4 linked regions of the Cricetulus griseus genome follow. The protein of the gene in region 3 purifies or fractionates together with the protein of the main gene of each other region. This does not show direct contact. Links are inferred from orthologs where the notes say so. Each region holds a gene or a part of one and is shown on either strand. Other genes may lie near its edges.

Region 1 (4,055 bases), on a different chromosome or scaffold from region 3:
CTGGAACTCTCTCTGTAGACCAGGCTGGCCTTGAACTCAGAGATCCGCCTGCCTCTGCCTCCCAAGTTCTGGGATTAAAGGTGTGCGCCACCAATGCCCAGCCAGGCATCATTTTTGTAACGTTATATTCCACAGTCCCCATGACAGGACTAATGTCTTAATCCCAGACAAAGCCACAGAGGCTCACAACAGGTAAAGAATTGCTCAAAGCACCAAGCTGTTATCATAGACCAAACCTCAATTTTCCTGACTTCACATTTAGGCTTCTTTGAACCTTTAAATTTCTCAAGTCCAAAGGGTTTCATTTTATTATTTTCTTCAGCTGAGCCAGTCATAAGAATTGTTTATCTCAAACAATAAACAGAATATAGGGTATATATGATAAATAACACACTACTGGGACAAACAGACATCAGAGCAATAATAGCTCAATTGTGAGCCTGAACTTCAGTTCATTCATAAAATGTGCATAATGAGCAAGACAGAAAAGCACTTATTCAGGTTAAGTGAAGAACAAAAGCCTGTAGATGAATGTTTTCTCTTACCTATAGCCAATAAATGACCCTCTCAATTCCCATTGAAGCACAGGTTCTAGCAAAGTTTTACTGATTCCAGTCCAGGAATAGTAGTTTTGTTATACAACAGAAACAACTTACGTATGTGTGTGCATGATTACAAATTACTGTTTGTTTATCTTTCCAAGACATAAACAAGAGATAGGGGATGGAGTCTGAATCCAGAGCCTATTAATTCCCAAGTCCACCTGCTTTATCACTGGGCTCTACTGTCTCCCAACAAAACATGACACCTGTCATTCAGATCTTCCTTCTGCCTCCTCCCTCATACATCTAAACTACAGGGATACAGGGACAATGACTATCAGGGGAAATGAAGGAAAAATGACCTGTCCTCCCACACTTCCATCTCCAGTTCAGGCAAGTTTGGGGACACTTCTCAGAATTCTGTCATTGAAAAACAAGTAGTAGCTAAGTAGGGGTGGTGCACACCTTTAACCCCAGCAGGCAGGCAGATCTCTGAATTTGAGGCCAGCCTGGTCTACATAGTGAGTTCCAGGACAGCCAGGGCTACACAAAGAAATCCTGTCTCGAAAAACCAAACCAAACCAAACCTAACTAACCCAACTAACCAAACAACAAAACACCAAGAAGCAAAGAGCAGGTTAGAAAAATCTTTTTGATCCTGGTAATAACTTCAAGTAGAAGTCTTGACAAAACCAATATGTTCCTACTACAATAGAGAAATACTATGCAAGTAGTCAGCTGGGGTTGGACTGCCCCAGACAGAAGCCAGTTACTGACACTCGGTAATACAGTATTTTCACTTAGTCAGAGACCCAAAGAAGACACAAACAAAGGAGAGCCTTAAGAGCGAAAGTAGCCTTAACCCATCTTACCTGAAAATCCAGAAAATTTCCGAGGATTGGTACTGGTGACAAACGAAGCACCTTTCACTGGGGATGACACCTGGCCAGTGGTTGTCACCTTAGCCTGGACAGCGGTTTTCTTCTTAGGTGTCCCAGCTGCCTTAGAGGACAGGTCTATAGGACCCACACAGAACAAAAATGTCCTTCAGAGAAAGACTGCCGAGGAAGCTTCTCGATTTTATCAACAGTTTTCAAATCCTTGCTTGGTAAGTTTCTACTGCACTATGACCCCAGGCTGGCTGGTCTTTTTGAGTGTTGGGAGGAGGTAAAAGAGTATTGTACAGAGAACAAAAAGGTATTTTGGGGATCATTTACCTCTATTGGTAACTTGAATTTTCATCAAAATTCCCCACCTCATATTTAATATATAATAATTTCTTCTTCCTTTTTTTTTGTTTTTTGAGACAGGGTTTCTCTGTATTGTTTTAGAGCCTGTCCTGGAACTCACTCTGTAGACCAGGTTAGCCTTGAACTCACAGAGATCCATCTGCTTCTACCGCCTGAGTGCTGGGATTAAAGTACAGATTTGGGGAAACCAAATAATCATTTATTTATTTTTAAAGATTTTTATTTTTATGTGAATGGGTGCTTTGCATGCATGTATGTGTGTACCATGTGTGTGTGGTCTGGTGCCCAGGGAAGCAAAAAAAAGGCACTGGATCCATTGGGATTGGATTTACATAACCATGAGCTGCCATGGGGATGCTGGGAATTAAACTCAGGTCCTCTGGAAGAGCCAGCCACCTTTGCTCTTTACTGCTCTCCAGCCCCAGTAATCATATTTTGATAGATAAAACTTGGGCCTAGCTCTGTGAAATAGCCCCAATACATAGAAACAACAAAGTAAAAATGAAGAAACCAGAGCATGCCTTTTTGGCACAGGTAGAATAATTCCCGTTGACTACCCTTCCCCCGAATGAGACAGAATCAGTTAACAAAGGCCAAGAATAAGAATAAAGGACCATCGTTAGAGCCACAGCCTTTAGATCTATTACTCTAGAGACTCTAAGAGTCCTCAGATATGGATATAGGAGTAAGCATGTATGTGTGGATATATGTATGTGATTTTATGTATATGCATGCATGTATCTTTCTAGTTGTCTGTTCTAAGGACTTAGCCACAAAGATATAATATGATGACGAGATGTAGAGCATCCAGATTTTGTTTTCCAAAACTGTTTTCCATTAATGGGAATTCAGACCCCCTCAGAGGAATGGCTACCACCACAGCTAGGGGAGGACACATAGAAGAAAGTCAAGAGCATCCTCTTATGCCTAATGCATAAGTACTTATAAAACATGGTCCAGCAGGTCTTAAACTCACTCCTGAGTGTCTAGGACTGCAGGCTTGTGCCACCTCACCTAGCTAAAATTCAGTGAAAAGTATTTGCCAGGCATGGCCAGCAGACGGGTACAACTTCAGGACTTGAGAGGCTAATGCAGAAAAGACTGAGAGTTTAAGGTCAGCTAGGGCTACACAGCAAGACTGCCGGGGGGGGGGGGGGGACACGGACAGACGGACAGACAGACAGACAGACAGACTAGAGTATGCAGGATATAGAAGCCACCCTAACGGGACTACTAGCTGGCCAAATATGGAACAAGTCAGTACCATAATGAACTGTAAGTCTCTGGTGAAAAGTAGTAATCTAAAAGTTGGTAAAGACATCAAGTTGACAGCTAAAATGGTGGTAGTGATCTTTTATTCTTTAAAAATATCAACATCTAAAAGAAAGACAGAGAGTACCAGACTTGGTGGCACAAGGCTGTAATCTTAGTCCTGGGGAGAAGGCAGGAAGATTGCTTTGAGTGTGAGGCCAGCCCAAGCTACATGGTATGGCAAGAATACATCTAAAACCAAAAAGACACTCTGGAAATGCTGCAGAGTAAAGGAAGCCAAAGAGACATGACAATTAAATGCAGTACCTAATCTGATTCTAAACCTGCATCCTCAAATGGAGGAAAATGTACTATTAAATTATAGCGTTCAGTCAACAGACAAAACAGTATACAGATAAGGAAGTATTGCATCAAGGGAGAGTTTACTGAGGTTAACAGGTAAACTATGATCATGTAAGAGAAGATCCTATTTTTAAGATACACACTGGAGTACCTACAGGGCCTGATGACACAACTTTCTCTGAGTGGCTCAATAAAAAAATAAGCCTGATATGTAGAGAGCGAGCACATAAACAGAAATGAGAAAGTAAAATGACTAGTATCAAGAGGGAAATCTGTGTCAAGAATGAGTGTTCTTGGTACTAATTTTATTCTTATAACTATTCTGTGAATTTGAACTTATGTCCAAGCAAAATGCACAAAGAAAGAAATATCCTAGCCTCTAGTCTCCTTGTGCCCTATTCTATTAGCACCAGCAAGCCGAGAAACCAGGTTCTAAACCCCACCTGCAATGTGCTGGCTGATCTGTTCCTTTTCGTCATCTTCCAGCTCTTCCCAGCCTTCTAGCTCTGTGAGGTCTTCAATTTTTTTTGTGGTAGCCCGAGCCCGCTCCAGTTTCTCAAATATGCACTTAACATGGTACCACTCTTTCATATCGCCCGCAGACTCTGAGAAGGGATTGGGCACCACTTTGCCAATGCGGCATACGCCC
Region 2 (4,589 bases), on a different chromosome or scaffold from region 3:
ACAAGCTTTATCATAAAGATACAAGGGAAGGGGAAAAGTAACAAAATCAACAAGATTCCGAAAAACAGACCTTGTTTTTGACACACAAATATGTAACAGGAAACAAGAGTGGACCTTACAGCCCATAACAGCCAAAGATAATATATTAACCCTGTTTTGAGCCTGATAAAAATACAGTTTTAATAATCAACAGAATCCAATTATTGATTGCTATGAAAATGAAACATAAAAACTAAGATGTATTTTATTTTTAATCATGTATACTTATGTATTCTATATGGGGGTATGTATGAGTACCCATGTATGCCAGAAGAGGGCACAGGACCTCTGGAACTGTAAAGGGAGTAGTCAGTGGCCAGCCATGAGTGAACAGAACTCCAGTCCTCTGCAAAAGCAGCCAAATGTTCTTAACTGCTGAGTCATCTCTTCAGCCCACAAACTGAATTTTAAAGAAATATATACTGAACTATACTAATATAAAATTTAGTATTTGTTTTTACAAAGATAAAGAAAAAAGAATAAAACAAATATAGAAAATACTTGATAACCTCTGACTTACTCTAATTTTATGTTTGAAATTTTCTCATGATAAACTGGATATTAGAAGTATTACCCAAATAACAAAGATGGCCATAATGAAGATTACAGTGCACAAAATTATATATATATAATACATACACACACATATATATATACTCTCAATCTGTCCTCTTTTTCTCACGAGCACACACACACACAATCAATTAGAGAACAGGAATAAATCGAAGAAAGAGCAGGAGCTATTCTATTGCAAAAATAAAGAACTCAAAAGTAAATAACTTATCTAATAAAAATTGATAGATTCGAAGTTGCTTCCTAAATTCAGCATATATTTTCTTCATTGGGACAAATCATTTAACCATCTACATCTCTACCTTCCATTAAGGAAGAGAACCTCAGTAATTACAAGAATCAAATGTCAGTATGGGCAAAAGTGCTTTATATACTGTAAGCATGGTACAAATGTACAAAATTAATCAAAGATGGTAAAGGTATTTAGAACAAGCCTTTGAGTGACATATTTCAGTCACTCAAAGTAAAACATTAATTGTATATATGTATACATAATATGTCACCATTTAATATAATTTACGGTTAAAACCATATGCATACAACAATTTTATTTAGTATCTACTCTTATACTCACTACTCCTGTGTAATAGCGCAGTCCAACAACTTGACCTCTCAAAGTTCCAAATAAAATGGGATCCAGCTCTTCATCACTAGTTAGGAAGTCATCTGGAGGGATAACGTCTTGGAACTCAAAACGTGGAAAGAAAGTTGGGTATGAAAGTCTTGGAAAATTTCCATGGGCTCCATATTGGACAGACTGCAAATACTTCCAAACAGGATCCCTATTAAAAAAAAAAAAAAAAACACAAAACAAAAACAAAAACAAAGCATACATTAAAACAATAGAACTTTCGGGGAGTTAGTGGCACACGCCTTTAATCCCAGCACTTGGGAGACAGAGACAGGCGGATCTCTGTGAGTTCCAGGCCAGCCTGGTCTCCAGCTCGAGTACCAGGATAGGCTCCAAAGCTACACAGAGAAACCCTGTCTCGAAAACCAAAAACAAACAAACAAACAAACAAACAAAAAAAAACAGAACTTAACCAAGTATTTCTCAAAGAACACAGTCAAACAGTATTTTCAGGCCAATCACTTCCTTACATTTTATTTTAGCAAGTGAAATGTTATGTGGCAAATACCACTTAACAATTACCCTGGCTAAAGCAAGAGCCGAGTAGGTAAAGCTACCAAATCTGACCTGTTAAATACTGGAAATTCTTTCCTGCGGAAATCTATTTACATTAAAATGTCAAAATCTTCAATGCCAACTAATGAAGAAGAGATTTATAAAAACAAAATTACCATTGTATATGTTTTTTTTTTTCTTTTTGTTTTTTTCGAGACAGGGTTTCTGTGTAGCCCTGGCTCACCTAGAAACTCACTCTGTAGACCAAGCTGGCCTTGAACTCAAGAGATCTGCTTGCCTCTGCCTTCTGAGAGGTGGGATTAAGGTCGTGCGCCCCATCGTCTGGCTATGAAAATATCTTTAGCCTTCGACATAAAGCATTCACAGCTTTAACTCCTGCAGAACAGCTATCTAAACTATGACATCATAGGAAGCTGACCTGCAGGCCCCCTTACCTATCTATCCATCACCCTGTTATTTTAAAGGTAACCAATCTTAAGGATCATTATTACAGGAGTGGGCATAAAAACCGCTGCAGGTGATCAAGTGATGTTTGCTGGAAGCCTTCTACAAGTTGTCTTTCCCCTAAAAGCACACGGGGCTATCCTTTGGGAGTCCCCGCTTCAGCTCTCCTCTGCAAGCACAGGCTCCTGCTCACTACTGTGAGACACTGGGTGTCGGGCTGTCTCGGAGCTGTCACGGTAACAATTCCTAGCGTATGGCGAGACAACAATGCCTAGAGCACAGTGGGTAGCCAATAGGTGTTCTGATGAATAAAGCTCTTCGGGTGGAGCTTTGGACCCCCACAACCGGTGATGGAGACCTCCCGAGGTGCTGGCAGCAGATTCTCGGGTCAGCCGAGACAACGCTTTGCGCAAGCCACACGTGCAAGCGACCCGGGGAGGGCATCCAAGCCGCACCTATCTTATCTATCTATCTATCTATCGTCCGCCCGCCGGGAGCGGGTTCACTGAAGACGGCGCGGGGCCCCGGGCCGCACGCCCCACCCCCTCAGCCCTTCACCTCTTGAACATCCAGGACATGGCGCCGGGCGGGGTGACCTCGGGATGCCCTGGGCGCCCGGACTTTCTCAGGCCGCCTGAAAAAGTCCCTCAGGGTCTCGCGGCCCAGGGACCGGGAACCAGATGCGAACCGCGAAGAAGCGACGCTCCAGACGCGGGTTTATTTAGAAGCCGACTCCCACTACTTCAGCAACAGTCTGAGAGGCCAGTGACGTTTTGTGATCGGCACTGAGATTGTCCAATCGGAATGAAGAATCTCTAAATACCAACCAATCAGGGTGCTAGAGGGTGGGGAGCTCCGCCCCATGCAGCGATTCAAAGGCAGTGGAGTGTTGGGGAGGTTCCATCCGGGTTCTTCCGCGCCCCGAGGGCGGTTGCGCGGGAAAACCTCGAGGTCTTTCAAGTGAGCCACTTGGCTAAAGGTTCCCTGCCCGCTGCAGAGGAAAGATTTCTTCCTGCCACTGCCCAAAACCATAAGGCTGTCTGTCCCCTGAGGTCTGAGCCTCCTTCGCCCACCCTATCTGAGATAATGCCTAAAGGGCCTCCCCTAGAAGGAGGAGCTCATTTCCTCTGAGATGCCCTATGTTTGTAATTAGGAACCTCGGTGTGTGGAGACCCTGAGTCCTAGAAATCTGAGGAAGAACACAATTTCCCTTTCTCACCTTATTTTCTAGTGTTTAAAGACATTTTCATCACTTAGTAGAAGAAAGCCATAAAATAGGACAGTCTTACAACTCTATTGCTGAGACTGGTCCAGCACTGGTGTAAGGTGAGGTGGCAGCTGTGGCCACTTGCGTTTTTTCTCGGGAAATTGAAGGAGACACTGTAAGAAAAACTTTATAAAGGGAAATTCGGCCTTAGGGTTGTGTGTGCATCAGTAACAGCCAAGGTAGAGGTGGTTCCTGTACCGTGTGTTAGACCCCCGAAAACTCAAGTATCTGGGGTCCTAGGCCACATTCGCGGTCACCCCAATCACCAGGCAGATTCCAGAGCTTGCTGCAAACTGCACGAGGCTTTATTGTAATTTAACAAGCTAACCCCATGTTAGCTCGGGTCTTTCACCCACCCGCCATGGCGGATGGCTAGCAAAAGACGCTCCTAGGGCCTCCCAAGAGATCTTATAGGACAGCGGAAGGGGAGTGTCTAGGGGTACGCACAGACTCAGGATTGGTGTGCCTCCAGGCTTGGAGGGCTTGCCCTGTGTTGATTGGTCAACTGGTTGTTATGGCCCATAGGCCCTCCCAGGGTGGTTGCTATGCTCTCCAAGTCATTGCTGTGCGCTTGTCTGTAAAGCACACCCAGGGTCGTAAAGCATAGCGCCACCAGCTAATTTCTGATTGGTTCCTTGTCACGAGGCAGGCATCTGACTTTCTAGTGTCTGGGACAAGGTCATTATGGCTGCCAAAAGGGAAGCTGGTCCCTTCATGTGAAAGACCACAAAAATACTACTGAAGTAGTCTTTTAACTGTTGCCGCTTCACCTGCACCTAAAATAGGAAGCTAGTGGTGGTGCTGAGCCAAACAAACATAATATGGTGTGCTGTAAACCATCAGAATTGCTAGATGTGTTTGTGAATGTTTTAAACACTGACAGCCAACCTTCCAAGAGTAGTTCATTTTGTGATTCTGTTGGCATAGTATGAAAGGTAGGTGGCTTGTGTGTGTTCGTTGTCTTACAAAATGATGATCTGTGCATTATTTAAGTGAAATGAGAGTATTTCAAGTGGACCACTGGCATGACATTGTGGGAAATACTAATGTCAACAACAACAACAAAAAAGAACAACAGACAAAAAACAATTCACTTTAACAGGCTTGGAAGGCAAATAT
Region 3 (4,635 bases):
GAACTTAGATCTTTATCAATTAACCCAGTTAATTTTTAAAAACTTTAAAAATAAAGCCACATTTTATTACTTAAAAAGTGTAACTACTAAAGAAATTCAAACTGCAATTACTTGGATACACTGTTAATTCCTGATGTAAAGATTTAGGATTAATAGCAATTCCATTTATCAAGTCATTTACACTTTTTAAAAGTCCACTGTCCCTAGATAACCGACTTGAATAAAATATTGACCTTTAAAAAATAAAAGAAAAACAAGAATATATAAAACATAATTAAAAACATAAATATCAAATTATATATGCTTGAACACTTTCTGTTTTCCCTATTTAAAGAATTAAAGAAACAGTTTACTCTTTATTCAAAATACACAAAACAGGATATATTGTATAAAAAAGGTGTCAATGATGGGGTACTACTTCAAACCTCCCTCTGTATACAAGTTTACCTACATGTGTATCTATTATAAACACAGGAAAAGAGAGCAGAGGTCAGGTGGGATTTAACACACACATCTTGAAATTTCTTAAAAAAGATTCCCAAATTCACAGGCATGTAACTTTTGTACTTCATCACATCAGCTTTCAAAAAAAGGGCTAAGTCGAATTGGAAACAAGTGTTCTGTCAAAACTCAATTTCAGTTAAATGTAAACAATATCATCCTATGACTACCGACTGCCTTCACAGTCTTCATATTTAGGTGTAAATCTTCAAATTTCTTCCCTTCGAAGTGGGTTTTGCATTTACTTCAATAACTCAGGAAATATGAATGTCAACAGACACTTTAATCTCATCAATCAGGTTTCATGGCCAGCAACCATTATGTAAATAACAAAGTCCTCTTATTAATTAAGATGTGAGACCTTGGTCAAGTCATCACTACGTATTTGTTGCTTCACCCTCTCCTCTGTGATTCTACAATTTTAAATGTTTTAATTAAGAGGCCTTTAACAACAGGCTTTGTATTAATTAACTAAGGTGAATGAGAGAGTACAAATTAGCAAAGGAGGCTGTACACCAGTGTAGACATAGTGTCTATCCTCAGAAAGACTGTTTCTAATCCGGCCAACAGTTCCACAAATTCCCTCTGTTATCAAGAACCCAACTGGGCAAGAGGACAGAAAAAAGACTCAGTACCTTCTACCTCTAATTCTTGCAGGAAAATATTTGTAAGAATCAGTAACAACTGGTTAAATCCGTCAAGCACATATATGGCTAACAGAAAATGTGTCGTAAACAGATGAATATGAAAAAGTTCTTCCTATTATGTTTTTTCAGGTCAAGGAATTATCTTGAATCCTTTAAAAACAAAAAAGAAAACAATGCAAAAGTGACTCTTATCACTTGACGAGTCTCCCAAAAGAATTTTTTTTTTTTTTTTTTGCATTCCTCTTATCTAATGACCAGCTATTTGGGATGTTTTCCCATGATTACAACTCTACTCAGTTCTTCACCAGCAAAACAGAAATCTTCAAACATTTAAGCACAAGGGTTTTCATTCTGCCCACATTACATAGGCCCATTTGAGACATAAACCCAAGTGTTCCACTGTATCATATCCAAGACCCAAACACATCCCAAACTCCTTTAGTGTGGCAGTCACTCTCGAGTTTTCTCTTTAAAAATGAGATTTAAGTGACCTATTTTCATGTGTTTTCACAGCACCCAGGAGCTTTGCTGCTAGTTTGTATGGGTCATTTCCTTCATTTGTTTTCAATATGCCATGTCCTTTAAAAAGTCTAATATAGGTCATTTACTGAAATGTTCTACATGCTCAAATTCGATGACAATATACAACTTTCAATAGCCAAGTTCCAGGTGCACATCCCGTTTACAAAACAAGGAAGGCAGACACACACACACACACACACACACACACACAAACACACGGCGGGAGGGGGTGAACACACCCTAGCACCTGAAATGTCAATCAATGAACAAAGCCTTTTCTATCTCCTTTGACTTTCTTCTTCCCTAAGTTCTTGTCAAGTATTTCGGTACTGTTAAAAAACAAACAAACAACAAAAACAAAACAAAAACCCCAAAATGTTGAAAACTTGAGAAGTGCTTAAACAGCACCCGGAGAAAAGACAAAATATAGCTGTCAGAATGCGTGTGCTAACTCACAGTCCGGAATCTCTTACCTAAGTAGAGGACGATTCCATTTCCATATCCTCAAAAACAACGTAACCATGCCTTTCTCTCTTAAAAGAAAAAAAAAAAAAAAAGAAGAAGAAAAAAATAATAATAAAAACAACACCGCTCAGGAAAATAAGACAGCCAGAACAATGAGGATCCCGTGCACTCCTAGATGGGGTGGAGGGCAAGGGAGAGAACTCCACACCCAGCAACCAGAACAAAGCGACAAACGAAACGGGGATCTTCGGATGCACCCGGGTAGGGAGGCCCCGACGCGTATTCCGACACCTCGGGGTGGTTTCAGGTTTTGGGAGCCATCAAAACAAGAACACTCGGCGGCTTCCGCCAGCGCGAGGAGGAGGGACGGCTCCGGGCGCTGGGCAGGCTAGCAGCACAGCACAGCACAGCACAGCACAGCAGCAGCAGCAGCAGCAGCACCGCAGACGGCAGACAGAATGCAGCCCGTGGCTGCCCGCAGCCCGGCCGAGCCCCGCGGCGCTGCCCGCAGCCCGGCCTGCGTAGTAATGGCCGGGGCCGCGCCCGTCACGCTCCGGGCTGCGCCAGCTCGCCTCCCTCCGCGCGCCCGTCCGGGCCGCGCTGGCCAAGGGCGTCCCTGTCCTACCGGCCCCGACCCGCCGCCGCTCGCCGCCACTCCAGGCGCCGCCCCGCAGCCAGCGCGGTCGCAGCGCCACCCGCCGAGGCCCCGCAGCCCTCGGACACACGCGCTCCCCACCGGTCCCGCCGGTGCCCACCTCTCGGCCGCCGCCGCAGCCACCTCGCAGCCTCTTCTCCTCCGCTTCGGAGCCCGCAGCGGACGGGGACGCGCGCGGCCGCCACGTGACGCCCGGCGCTCGAGGGGGCGGGGCCGCGCCGACGGAAGCCACGCCCCCACGGCGAGCGCGCGCGCGGCGCCGGAGGCTGGCGGGCGGGCGGTGCACGCTCTGCCTGCAGACCTCTCTTGCCCTTCCCCGCGGCGGGGCGGCTCTCTGGCCGCGATCCCTCCCATGCTCTTTGTGCACCTTATCACCACCTGGCTCTGACACTGTGGGGTGCCACCAGAGAGCACTGAGCGAGGGAGCTAGACATCCGGGACCAGGAAGAGGAGCTCTCCTGAAATCCAGCCTTCTGACCCCAAGAAGCCCTTGGGCCAAGCCCTAAGTTTCCAATTGAAGTGTCCTTAACTGCTTGTTCCTTATCAAGAAGACATCTGCAAAGACTCGGCGTGGACTGGATGGTCCCCTGGAATGCTCCAGTTTATTCACTCACAAATGGCTAGGAAATTTAATGGGGGAGGGGACGTGTTGGGGGTCTCAACAAGTCTTTTGTACCCTAACAGCCTAGGAAGCTAGAAGAGGAAATCAATCGACTTAAGAATCTAGAGTAAGTTTTGCCGATTCATTTGATGGCAAGCATACAGTTTTAAACATCAAAATCTAGTCGTTCGTTTTTACCCACACATGGTCTTTTACAGAGCTGAGTGAGTTTTCTCAAGTTGTAGTTAAACTAGGTGGATTAGCGGGGCCTCGTCACCTTTGAAAGTATTTCCGCCTCCTGTAACTGTTGCATTGTGCTTGCAACAATGTTGCATTTTGAGGTTTATTAACTGTCTCAATGCCAGGACTGTAAATGTTTCGGGTGCTTATATGATAGCTACAAAGCACAGCCTCTGCTCTTAAGGGAAAGGAGGAAGAATTCATGTGGAGACAGCCATGAGTAACTGAATCCCGAGCATGGATTCGGGCTACTCAGTCTGTTGTTCTAGGAAATATTATTACATGAACTTTGTATAGCCACAAAAAGGGAAGATTATACGTCAATGTATTATCAAATATTTTGGTAGGGGTAGTCCATCGGGTAGCTGGGCGACTGTGACAGAGCATATTGTTTAGGTTTCGGTGCTATAACGTTGGTTTTATAATTGAAAACGAACTAGGTATCTAGTGGTAGGGTGTTTGCCTATCATGCTTGAGCATCTGGATCCAATCCCCAGTACCACACTGGGTACGGGGAATAAAAAAGGAAGCTACTGGCCAGCTAGGTTTCAACGTTGTATTCCAGTCAGAAAGATGTTAATTCAGATGATACAGGGATTAAGAGTAAATGGCGACTATGTGGGGGCGGAACAAATATTTGGCTCTTGTTTGCAGCATTTTCCTATACCACTATTACAAAGTTTAGTCAGCCAATCAGTTCACAGCATCTTCCATATACGTGTGCTTCTTTAGGGAAGCGCGTGCGCATGCGCCCTCTCTCTCTCTCTCTCTCTCTCTCTCTCTCTCTCTCTCTCTCTCTCTCACACACACACACACACACACACACACACACACACACTCCTCTGAACGTCTCTTGGTGTGAGTTAGTTCAATAAGTTTTCTTCTAAGTAGTGAAAGACCCTCGAAATGAGGAGTCTCCCCCATCTGGCCAGTCCTGCAAGAACTCAATGTCCAGTCCAGTTGATGCAACATACAAGAGGCTTCATTGCAGTTGTTTAGCGAGC
Region 4 (2,778 bases), on a different chromosome or scaffold from region 3:
TCTGAAGCCTAGATTCCTCCTCCTACTCTCTCTGCCTGCAAGTCCCACCTATACCTTTTGTCTAGCTATCGGACATTACCTTTTTATTAGACCAATAAGGTGTCTTACAGCATGCAAGGTAAACACATGCAACACATCTTTATATAATTAAACTAATATCCCTCAAAAGGGCTGCTACCAAAAGCTGTAGCCCAGTTGTAGAGTGGCTTTTTCCATCTCAGATGATCCAATCAAGAAAATCCCTCATAAGCATGCCCAGCGGCTTGGGTTTTAGCTGATTCCAGATGTAGTTAAGCTGATTTACTAAGATCAGCCAGCACAGGGCTCTGTAACTCCAGCCCCAGGGGATCCAGCTCCCTCTGCTGGCAGCTGCACTCATGTGCACGTAACTACACAGACACTTCATACACATACACATACTTAGAAGAAAATCTAAAAAACAAGTTGAGTGTGGCTGCATGTATCTGTAACCCCAGAATTTTGGGTTCAAAGGGCTGAACTGTTGGGGCTTGCTGGCCATCAGCCTTTCTCAAGACTCAGTAAGAGCCCTTGTCTCAAGAGGACAGTGTTGGGGTGGGCTGTGGCAGTACCCACCTTTAATCCCAGTACTCCAGAGGCAGATGGATTCTGGGTTGGAGGCTATCCTGGTCTACAGAGTGAGGTCCAGGACAGCCAAAGCTATATAGAGAAATCCTGTCTTGAAAAACCAACCAACCAAACAAACAAAAAGGACAGTATGAAGAGTGCTAGAGCACACTCTGACAACCTTCCTCTGGCCTCCATGTGTGCACACATGCATGCACACCACACACAAAGAATATGTGTTTGGAAAAGTAAAACCCAAAGAAGCCAGAGGTAGATTTATACTATTTTATTAAACAAATGACCAAAAAGTTCAAAAATGTAATATTGCTGGGTTTTGTTTGAAGATTGAATCCTCTCTTGCTTATTTAATCAACATTTACCACAGCTGCAGAAAATTAAATTGAATCTTTAGAAGGTATCGCATATGGACCTGGTTGGGGCTGTAGACAATAAACTCATTGTAGTTGAGGGTATACCCCTCTGGATTGAGAATTCCTGTGTCACTTGCTGGTCCTAAGGGCACTGTACTCCCATTCCTGCCAAATGGAAGAAAATGTGTCAACATTAGTATTTGGTCCAGAATTTGAAATAGACAAGTAATTCTTTCTTTCTTTCTTTCTTTCTTTCTTTCTTTCTTTCTTTCTTTCTTCATTTCAATCCAGTTCCCTCTCCCCCCTCTCCTCCTGCTCTCCCCTCCTTCCCCCATCCCACTTCCCTAGGATGTCAACTAAGTTTGTCTCTTCACCTTGTTGAGGCAGGACCAAGGCATGCATCCCCCCACCCCCCATGTCTAGACTGAGCAAGGTATCTCTCCATAGAGAATGGGCTCCACAAAGTTAGTTTATGCACTATAGTTAGATCTTGGTCCCACTGCCAGTTGCCTCATACGATGCCCAAGCCATACCATTAGACAAATAATTCTCAACAATTTGAAAGAAGTCTTCCAGCAGCCTCAGCTCTGGGTACTTACAGGGTGATGAAGTGGTCAGGGTTGGGAGCTATCTTTCCCAGCCCCTTGGTGCTATGCTTGCCCTGAAGCAACCCTTCTGCCTTAGGATTGGCCTCCAGTAGCTCATTACACTGACCTAGAGCTACCTGTGAAGCAAAAGATCCGTGAGTGCCTATACCCAGTTCAGAGGCAGGCGATTCCAAAGCCATCCAGAACATGCCAATTTGTATTTTATTTGTTACTTTAGCAAAAGAATCTAATGCAATGGAGATCCCATTCCAGGTGTACCTCTTGAATCCAGAGTGCAATTTTCTCAGTGAACTAGAGATCATAGCCATGTTCCCTGCCTTACCTCTGATAGAAGAAGCAGTCCTGTGCTCTTTAGGGGAGACGCAAAGCAGTAATTGGCACTCTTGGAAGACATGTCAGCAAAGTAGATTCCTTTCCCAAACTGAAATACATGAACAAAAATGGAGATCAGCTGTTTAATCCATTGTAGGAGAAGGTTCTGGCATGGTGGTCCAAGGCTTTTACCCCTGGATTCAGGAGGCAGAAGCAGGCAGGTCTTGGAGTGTGAGGCCAGCCTGGTCTACACAGCAAGTTCCAAACCACCCCAGGTCACAGTGAGACCCTGTCTCAAAACAACAACAAAAACTCAGCAATGACCATGAGGTTCTGTTCCCATAAACACAACATGGTCCCTCCCCTACTGCCCTTTCCTATTTAATTTAAGAAACAACCAAATAGCCACAAATCTCTGCCCTATCTTTTAGAATTTAAAGAAGAGGGACACAGTAAGAGATGAGGTGGTTATCAGTGAGCTGTTGTAACTCTTTCAGATTAGTACCACCTAATCTGGATTGGGGGACCAAGATCATCATTGTATCTTTTTTTCCTCTGGGCTCCTTCTAGAGGTCAGTTTCTACTTACCATATATCCTGTGACGGGAGCCTCAGGTGGGGCCACTCGGAGTCCGTGGCTCAGGATTCCTACCCAGTTACTCAGTCTGGAACCATGCCAGAGTAGCATCCTAAGAAAGACCTGTTATTCCACTCCATTGTTCTCCTAAAACATCTGTCATAAATACAAAAAAACCCAAACAAAACAGCTGCCCCCGCCACCTTCCAAGCTCCTTCACTACACTTCAGGCAAGGAAATGTCTACTCAACCAGAGCTGGACTCAGACCTGTTAGGAAGGTCCTTTCTGAAGGCCTCCTTCTCCCCTTCCTTCTCTACTTCAAAAA

Evidence for each region.
Region 1: the proteins of Rnf146 (region 3) and Lig3 purify together in Homo sapiens (co-immunoprecipitation; 3 studies listed by BioGRID and IntAct, counting the BioPlex papers as one, with this or other methods). This does not show direct contact. The link is inferred for Cricetulus griseus from reciprocal best matches to the Homo sapiens genes RNF146 and LIG3.
Region 2: the proteins of Rnf146 (region 3) and Hltf purify together in Homo sapiens (affinity purification with mass spectrometry; 4 studies listed by BioGRID and IntAct, with this or other methods). This does not show direct contact. The link is inferred for Cricetulus griseus from reciprocal best matches to the Homo sapiens genes RNF146 and HLTF.
Region 4: the proteins of Rnf146 (region 3) and Parp2 purify together in Homo sapiens (affinity purification with mass spectrometry; 4 studies listed by BioGRID and IntAct, counting the BioPlex papers as one, with this or other methods). This does not show direct contact. The link is inferred for Cricetulus griseus from reciprocal best matches to the Homo sapiens genes RNF146 and PARP2.

Annotation. Positions count from the first base shown.
Region 1 is NC_048600.1:96,192,599-96,196,653, reverse strand, and holds part of Lig3 (DNA ligase 3), read right to left. Parts: coding exon 3,850-4,055; intron 1,559-3,849; coding exon 1,415-1,558; intron 1-1,414. UniProt on the Homo sapiens protein: Isoform 3 functions as a heterodimer with DNA-repair protein XRCC1 in the nucleus and can correct defective DNA strand-break repair and sister chromatid exchange following treatment with ionizing radiation and alkylating agents.
Region 2 is NW_023276806.1:127,935,906-127,940,494, forward strand, and holds the start of Hltf (helicase-like transcription factor), read right to left. Parts: upstream 2,962-4,589; 5' UTR 2,782-2,961; coding exon 2,762-2,781; intron 1,395-2,761; coding exon 1,187-1,394; intron 1-1,186. UniProt on the Homo sapiens protein: Has both helicase and E3 ubiquitin ligase activities. Possesses intrinsic ATP-dependent nucleosome-remodeling activity; This activity may be required for transcriptional activation or repression of specific target promoters.
Region 3 is NC_048595.1:247,899,842-247,904,476, forward strand, and holds the start of Rnf146 (E3 ubiquitin-protein ligase RNF146), read right to left. Parts: upstream 3,000-4,635; 5' UTR 2,891-2,999; intron 2,204-2,890; exon of another isoform or gene 2,144-2,203; intron 1-2,143. UniProt on the Homo sapiens protein: E3 ubiquitin-protein ligase that specifically binds poly-ADP-ribosylated (PARsylated) proteins and mediates their ubiquitination and subsequent degradation. May regulate many important biological processes, such as cell survival and DNA damage response.
Region 4 is NW_023276807.1:206,482,321-206,485,098, reverse strand, and holds the end of Parp2 (poly [ADP-ribose] polymerase 2), read right to left. Parts: coding exon 2,721-2,778; intron 2,565-2,720; coding exon 2,465-2,564; intron 1,986-2,464; coding exon 1,887-1,985; intron 1,681-1,886; coding exon 1,556-1,680; intron 1,122-1,555; coding exon 962-1,121; 3' UTR 857-961; downstream 1-856. UniProt on the Homo sapiens protein: Poly-ADP-ribosyltransferase that mediates poly-ADP-ribosylation of proteins and plays a key role in DNA repair.